2 linked regions of the Elephas maximus indicus genome follow. The protein of the gene in region 1 interacts with the protein of each later gene in a biochemical or structural test. Links are inferred from orthologs where the notes say so. Each region holds a gene or a part of one and is shown in the gene's direction. Other genes may lie near its edges.

What was found.
Region 2: of the proteins of RRAD (region 1) and CAMK2G, one has a biochemical effect on the other in vitro, tested with the Homo sapiens proteins (2 studies listed by BioGRID, with this or other methods). The link is inferred for Elephas maximus indicus from reciprocal best matches to the Homo sapiens genes RRAD and CAMK2G.

What each region holds. Positions count from the first base shown.
Region 1 is NC_064839.1:33,376,494-33,380,394, reverse strand, and holds the start of RRAD (GTP-binding protein RAD), read left to right. Parts: upstream 1-1,501; 5' UTR 1,502-1,634; intron 1,635-1,839; 5' UTR 1,840-1,854; coding exon 1,855-2,218; intron 2,219-3,171; coding exon 3,172-3,245; intron 3,246-3,373; coding exon 3,374-3,578; intron 3,579-3,901. UniProt on the Homo sapiens protein: May regulate basal voltage-dependent L-type Ca(2+) currents and be required for beta-adrenergic augmentation of Ca(2+) influx in cardiomyocytes, thereby regulating increases in heart rate and contractile force.
Region 2 is NC_064834.1:13,728,155-13,732,055, forward strand, and holds the start of CAMK2G (calcium/calmodulin-dependent protein kinase type II subunit gamma), read left to right. Parts: upstream 1-928; 5' UTR 929-1,031; coding exon 1,032-1,096; intron 1,097-2,437; coding exon 2,438-2,532; intron 2,533-3,901.

The sequences.
Region 1 (3,901 bases):
AACTGATGTAGCAGCTAGAGAACCAGGCCCAGGTCGCCACGGCAAACTGGAGCCCATCCTTGATGTCACCTGAGCCCTACGTGGTGTCCCCTGCCATACTTGTCATAAACTTCAGAGTCTGGCAGGTCCCCATCAGGAAGCACTTCACAGTCTGTCTGCCTCTAATCCTCATACAGCTCAGAGATGAACAGGGGGGAATAGGTCGTGGGCATCTGGAGGCTGGGAGGGAGAGAAAACCAGCAGGCTGGAGGCAGAGCCAGGATTAAAAACCAAGCCTCCCCATTGCATCCCCCCCCCGCCCCCAGCCCCAGCTCATGGTCCCAGTCCCTACCCTAGATCTAAGGGGAGTGAGCTCTGGGCAGTGGTGGCACCAAGTGGTAGCTGAGACACCCTCCCCCCGGCCCCTCCACCTTGACCACACTCTGCCACTATGCCTCTCCTGGGTGAGAGTCTGAACCTCCAGGCCCTGGACAGCGGACCCAGCCTGGAGCTAGAGGGAAGGAGGGAGTCATTGAAGACTGAAGTGGCTGGATCTAGCCCTGACCCTGGTCCAGCCTCAGCCCTATCTGCTCCTGTTGGCATCTGGCTCCTGCCTCCCTGGATTTCCCCAACTCTGGGCAACCTCCAGCCCAGAAGCAGAACGACCAGGGGCAGGGCCAGGTATTTTTAGCAGAGTTGCAGGAAGCTCCTTGGGGGGTCGTGGGGGTGGGGTGGAGACTGAGTTCATCCTTTCCCTTCACTGGTGTCCCTTCCTCAGAACTCAAGCAGGTACCTCTACCTGCAACACACTGCCAGGTGACCTCCCTCATCCCCTCCAAATAGCCCTCCAAGGGCCCCCTGGGGCTCATGGGGTAACACCAACCCTCACCCCAAGGGTAAGCTCAGCAGGGACAATCTTCAATTCCTCAGGAGGAGGAGGGGGTGGGAAGACAGGTGTTGAGGCTAGATGCCAGGATTTAGGACCCCTACTTTAGGTCTGGGTGGGCGGGCAGTGGGTGTCATGGGCAGAGAAGGGTGAAGTCTTCAGCCCGTAACTCAACTCTTCCACTCCCCTAGGACTTGGGAAACAGGCCAGGCTTGGGGGAGGGGGAAGGGAGAATTCACTCTTAAAGGACCAGGCCTAAATCTTCCCCAGTGGGGAGTTACCGCCCTTGGCTGGTCCCATAGTCTCTCCACCACACGGTGCTTCCCCCCCCACTCAAATCTTCACAGCCTCCCTGTTCCATTTACACACTTCCTCCTTCCCCTTTCTCCTCCCCTTCCTCACTCCCTCCTTTCCCCCACCCCACTCAGACCCCAGCGTCTGCGGGGCCCTAGTATTGCTAGGCAGCAGCTCACCCCTGGTTGGGGGGCGGGGTCTTGGTGGGTTTGAGGTCCTAGACCGAGGGTGGGGATTCCCCTGGGGTGGGGGTGGATAGACACGTCAGCCCCCGTCCGCCCCCGCATGAGTGCGGACCGGGGGCGAGGGCGAGGGCGGGGTAGGGCGGAGGCTTAAATAGCCGGCGCTGGAGCTGGGACCTAGCGCAGCTGAGAAGGCGGCGGCCGCAGCGGCAAGGGTCGGAGTGTCCGAGTCCGGGGCTGCGAGCGGGTTGTGTCCGAGCCCAGGTCCGAGTCCTGACCGCGTGTGCGACTGGGTGAGTGTCCCGCAGAAGCCGGGGGAGCGGTGGCCGCTCCTTCTGGATTTCGGATGGATGGGCCAGGCTGGGATGGGCCACGGGTCGGGGCGCAAGATCCCTCACGGCTGGGTTGGGCCAGTGCGTCCCGGGTCAGGCCTTCCACCCCAATGACACCGCGACTCACGCGGCCATCCTGGTTCCCGGCCCCCCCCCCCCCCCCCAGAAAGCGCCGGACGCAATGACCCTGAATGGCGGCGGCAGCGGAGCAGGCGGGAGCCGCGGCGGAGGCCAGGAGCGCGAGCGCCGTCGAGGCAGCACACCCTGGGGCCCGGCGCCCCCTCTGCACCGCCGAAGCATGCCGGTGGATGAGCGCGACCTGCAGGCGGCGCTGTCTCCAGGCGCCCTAGCGGCGGCCGGGACCGAGACCCAGGGTCCAAGGCTGAACTGGCCAGAGGGCTCCTCTGACTCCCTCAGCTCGGGGGGCAGCGACTCAGACGAGAGCGTGTACAAGGTGCTGCTGCTGGGGGCGCCTGGCGTGGGCAAGAGCTCTCTGGCCCGCATCTTTGGTGGCGTAGAGGAGGGACCTGAGGCCGAGGCCGCAGGTAAAGGACTGGGCAGGTCAGGGAAGGGGAAATCCCAGGGGCAGGTCTGGGAGCCAGGGGACTGGGGACCTGGACTAAAAGTGACAAATACGTGGGAGTCCAAAGGGCTTTCAGAATCATGCCTCTCCCCACCCATTTCACAGATGGGGAAAGTAAGGGAGAAGGAACTTCAAGCCATTCATAGCAGAAGAAATTCCCAGAGTAAAGGGTGCAGTGCTCCCATATGACCTCTGTGGGATGGGGGTAAGGGTTGGGACAGGACATTCCCCGAGCCGGGGTCAGCAGGAATTCAGGCAGAGGGAATTAATTCCTAGGGGAGGAGCCCTTGGTCACTTAGGGCTCCCAGAGGAATGTGACATTCTCAATTCTAACTTAAGCCACTGTGGTCAGAGCCACTCCCGGGCCCAGACAGCAGGAGGGTAGGGAGCACTGAAACTCAGGACATTGGTAGCTTAGGGGGGAGGGTGTCTCGGTGGAGGACGAGCACACTATGCCCCCATCCCCCACTTCCCGGCCCTGTCGCTTCTGTCTACCCGCCCCCATGAATTGCCCAGGATCAGGAGACACATGGCAGCCATCTCTAAGTGGGGAGGAGAGCTGAGGGCTCTGGGGAGGAGCTGGAGGATGTGACCAAAACAGGGAGTCTGCAAGTAGACACATGAGACTATGTGGGCAACTCCTGTGTGGAGGGGAGATGGGAAGGAAGAGGGGGACAGGAGCTGGTTGAATAAAAGACAGGGGGAATACAGGGTGGAGAGGAGGGCTGTGCTGTCTCATTAGGGGGAGAGCAGCTAAGAGCACATTGCAAGGTGTGTTTAACTTTTTGTATGAGACTGACTTTGTAAACTTTCACTTAAAGCACAGTAAATAAAAAAAACAAACAAAAACAGGGAGCCTGGAACTGGGGACTTTGGGCATCCAGCAGGTAACCTGGCTACTGGTCTTCTGCTTAGGGCACACGTATGATCGCTCCATCATGGTGGATGGAGAAGAGGCCTCCCTCCTGGTCTATGACATTTGGGATCAGGTAGGATGGAGACTGAGACCCAGGGCAGGGGCTGGAGAGGTGGGCTGGGGGTAAAGGCCTGCTGGGAGAGACAGACTTGTGGCTAGGACCTGGGGACTGCTGAGCAGGACTGTATTTGTGTTTCCCAGGATGGGGACTGCTGGCTGCCTGGCCACTGCATGGCCATGGGGGATGCGTATGTCATCGTGTATTCCGTGACGGACAAGGGCAGCTTCGAGAAGGCCTCAGAGCTGCGGGTCCAGCTGCGACGGGCACGGCAGACAGATGATGTGCCCATCATCCTCGTGGGGAATAAGAGCGACCTGGTGCGCTCTCGTGAGGTCTCCGTGGATGGTGAGCAGGGAGGGGAGTGTTGGAGAGGGAGGGAGATCCTGGCTGGGCTGTGGTCCACTCAGTCTTGGCTCAGCTCAAGTCCCTGGGGATCATTAGTGGCTAAAAACATCCAGGAAGAAAGCTCGGGGTGGGAGGGACACCTGCTGCCCACCTGCAGGACTCCCAGAGACTGGGCTGAGGAAGGCCGAGTGTGACAGGGAAGGTGGATACTGTTGGGTGCTGAGTTAGGGTGCCTCGGGGCCCTCCTCTCTTACCCCCTTTGGCCCTGGCCTGACTGGTGAAGGGTGAGGGGAGTACAGGGAACCAGACCATGAGGTCAGAGC
Region 2 (3,901 bases), on another chromosome or scaffold:
TTCTAAGTCAAGCAGTCTGACTGCAAAGTTAAAGCTTACAACAGCTACGTTCTAGCGCTGCTGCCCCTCATATCAATGAATATATAATTACAAAATGTGGTAAAAGAAAAAAATAAATGAATATATAATTACAAAATGTGGTAAGTGACATAAAATGAAAGTACAGCTTGCTCTGCAAGAAAATGAGGATGCTTTCTCCTTCCTTGTACTTGCTCTTCGAGTTCCAATGCACAAATCCTTTTATAATCTCTCCCACTTCATTTCTTTTATTATGGGCCTGAGAGAGAACGTTCTCTCATCTCTAAGGTTGGAGGGCAGAGAAGCACAGTTCCACCTGCACCCTTGCCCCTGGCCTGGTCTCCCTGATCAAACCGTGCCTGAAGAGTTTCTTCCAATAATGGCCCTGAAGCTTGCTCAAGTCTAGACTGTCAGCTCCCCAAGGGAAGGCTGCTGGGAGCTGGATCTCCACAGTCTGGGGGCGCCTCCCACGTGCGCAGCTTGACACAGGCTCTTTAACCTTGGCCCCTTCTGCTCATCCTGTGAGCCAGGCTGGGGGCTTAGGACCCCGTGTGTGGGTCCCGCTCAGGAGATCTCGTTGACCTAGCCACCTACCCCCCAACGCATGCCACCCTCGCGCGCACAGTCCCGAGCCCTTGCAGTTTTCGCTCAGGACGAGCCCACAGGTCGCGAACCTTCCAGTTCCCTCCGCCCGGGCGGGTGGCCGGGGACCCGGACCCCCACCTCGGAGCTCTCCGGCGCGCCGGGCCGGGCCCGGGCGGCTCCCGGGGCGAGGCGGGGCCGGCGGCGGAGGCCCCTCCCCGGAGGCGGTCCGGGGCCGGGAGGGGGGCCGGCGGGCTGGGGGCGGGGCGGGCGGGCCGGCGCGGGGGTGTCCCTCCCTCCTCGCTCTCCCCGGTAAAGTCTCGCGGTGCTGCCGGGCTCAGCCCCGTCTCCTCCTCTCGCTCCCTCGGCCGGGCGGCGGTGACTGTGCACCGACGTCGGCGCGGGCTGCGGCGCCGCGTCCGCCCGCCAGCATGGCCACCACTGCCACCTGCACCCGCTTCACCGACGACTACCAGCTCTTCGAGGAGCTCGGCAAGTACGGCCCGCGCGCCCCCCGCCGCGGCCCCCCACCCGGCCCCCGCCGCCCGGGCGCTCTGCGGCTCCTCGCCCCGCCCCCCGGCCCTGCACCGGCCGCTGCAGCGCCCCCTCGGCCCGCCCCACCCCCAGCTTTTCCCGCCCGCCGCCTCCGGGGCGCCCTCGCCCCCGGCTCCCTGCCGCGCAGCCCCCTCCGCGCCCTGCAGCAGCTGCCCAAGCTGCTGCACCCCGCGTTGCCGCGGGGACTGCAGCCTCTGGACCGCTCTCGGCGCCCTCCAGCCCCGCCCCTCCTGCACCCTTAGGGGCCCCCCTCCGGACCCCACCTGCTTGTCGCCCCCTCCTCACTCTGCTCAGGAGCGCACTCTGCATCCTGTTCCCGTGTCCCACGCGCCTGACGCTCAAGACCCTCCCCAGCCCTGCAGCTCCAACCTCGCTGCGGTGCCCGGGTGCGGGGGGGATGTTTGGTGCCGGCCCCGCCCCCCGCTCGTGCCGCTTCCAGGATCCCAGCCCGGCTGCTGGGCAGTGCTGCAGCACCCCGTCCCCTCCCCCCATCCCTGCAGTGGTCCCGGGCGCCGCGCGCCGCAGCCGCAGCATCCCCCTCCCCTCCGCACTGAGCTGGCCGCTGCAGCAGCCCCGGCCCCCCCCCCCCGCGGCGCCGAGCCCGGCCACTGCAGCCCCCGCCCTGCCCGCCCCCTGGACGCTTCCAGAGCTGGAGAGTGCGAACTCTCATGGAGGGGCGGGGGAGGGGGGGACGTAGAGGAAAATACTGTGGGGAAGGGGAGCCGCCGGTGCCTGAGCCCCAAAACTGTATGGTCTCCTTCCCTGCTGTCGGTTGAACCGGGATGCAGTTGGTTGAAGCCCGTTGTGGGGGTTTGAGCCTCACTTTCTTCACCCTCGTCCGTGGCTGAGGGAGATTTCTCTCAGGGGGGTATGCCCTCTTTCTCATCTCTCTTCCCCTACCACCATCTGTTCCTACTGAGGAAGGGCAGGGGCTCTCTGTTCCCTTTCCTCTCCTGGTCTCTTGGCCGTCCGCAGGGCTATCAGTGAGATGCAGCAGGTGTGTGTTTGAAAGCATCGCCCACCAACTCCTGATGAGCAGCCTGTCCTGGCTTTTCCCAGGGGCTGGATGAGGGGGTGGCAGTGGGGTGGCACTCCACCCCTGGCCTGTTCAGGGTCATGCAGTGGCCACATCCTTCTGCCTGATGTCAGAGGGTGGTGGTCACTACCCTGGCGGGGGGGGGGGGGTGTCTGGCGATGGGAGCATGGCTTCCTCAGACCACGGTTGCGCCTGTGTCACTCTGCCCTGCGCTGTGTCCCAGTTCTTTCCCCCTTTTCCCTCCAGGGGTGCTTTCTCTGTGGTCCGCAGGTGTGTGAAGAAAACCTCCACGCAGGAATACGCAGCAAAAATCATCAATACCAAGAAGTTATCTGCACGGGGTGAGTGTTCCCCATCTTGGTCTCTCCCTGGGGGTGGCTCCAAGGGCCTTGGCTTCATCTGAAGATGCTCCAGGAGTTGGGGGTTATGTGTTTTACTACTTGGAAGAGAGTTGGAATTTCAGGGTGGGTGGATTTTGGAGCCAGACAAGGAGTGGCACTGGGAACTGGAAGTGCTCAAATAGAAAAGAATGAAGGGGATGTAAGAGATGTAGATGGCTGCAGGGAGGAGTGGTCCCCAAACGCTTAAGGGAGTTTGGTCCTTAGGGGGGAGGTGAGGGATGTGGAGGATGGTAGATGGCACAGAATGGCGAGCTCTTGATTTGGGGCAGTTGGAGCCTACCTCTTTGGGGCCGTGGTAGCCACGCCAGGCCTATCCTAATCCCTAGGCCGCAGTGGTGACTTAGGATGGAAGTGCAGTAAGTGAGCAGCTCTGACAAATCCAGCCTCCCCGTGCCCACCAGGCGGTGGAACAGACTCCCAAGGGAAGGAAATCAGTAAACATCAGGGGAGGCTGCTACTGGCGAGGGCTTCTTGGGAACAAATCCTGCCAGATGAACTTGATTGCTTTTTTTGATCAAATTACAAAGTTGGTGGTGTGGCAGCAGATGCAGTCTGTCCTGGGTGGAGGGTGATGCCTCATGGTCTGAAAAGCCCAACAGCTTGGTCTGGTGGGAGCAGCAAGGCTCTGGTTATGAGGAGCGGGGACTTACCAGGCCAGGAGGGTCAGGTCCTGTTTTTCACACCTAGAAAGTACACTCCCTGAACCTCTTATTGGTTGCTTGCCAAACTCACCTCATCTGATAGGTGTAGACCCAGCAGTGTGTGAAGTACTCTGTGAACAGGTCTGGTGAGTAAGGAAGTCCATGAATGGGTCAGGTTGCCAAGGGCTGCAGGGTGCAGCTGGGGGCAAAAGTTTGAGATTCAGAGAAAGGAATTAAGGCTGGACAATGGGATGCCATTAATACATTAGGAGCCAGGATAGATGCCCTGGGGAAGACGTGGACTGTGACCAGTAATGACGCAGGCGTCTGGGGAAGGGGATGTAGTAGATGTCCCCAGGCCCTCTGAGAAACCATAAAATTCCACAGAGCTGACAGCGAGCTTGTTTATCAGGGCTGTGTCTACCACCTGGCTGGGAGGCTCTCTCTCTGTCCCCACCAGCAGGGCTTGCCTTGCCGTTTCCCACCCAGCCCCATACATGGCTGTAAGAGTTGACTTATTTGTTTATTTTCTTTCTGGGTACCTTGAGTCTGAGGCGATGGTTGCCATAGAGATATGTGGGTGGTCAGATGCCCTCCTCCCCTTGGGAGTGCCTGTGTAGGCTGGGCTCTTTGATAGACATCCTGTGGGCAAGGGTGATGGATTGAGA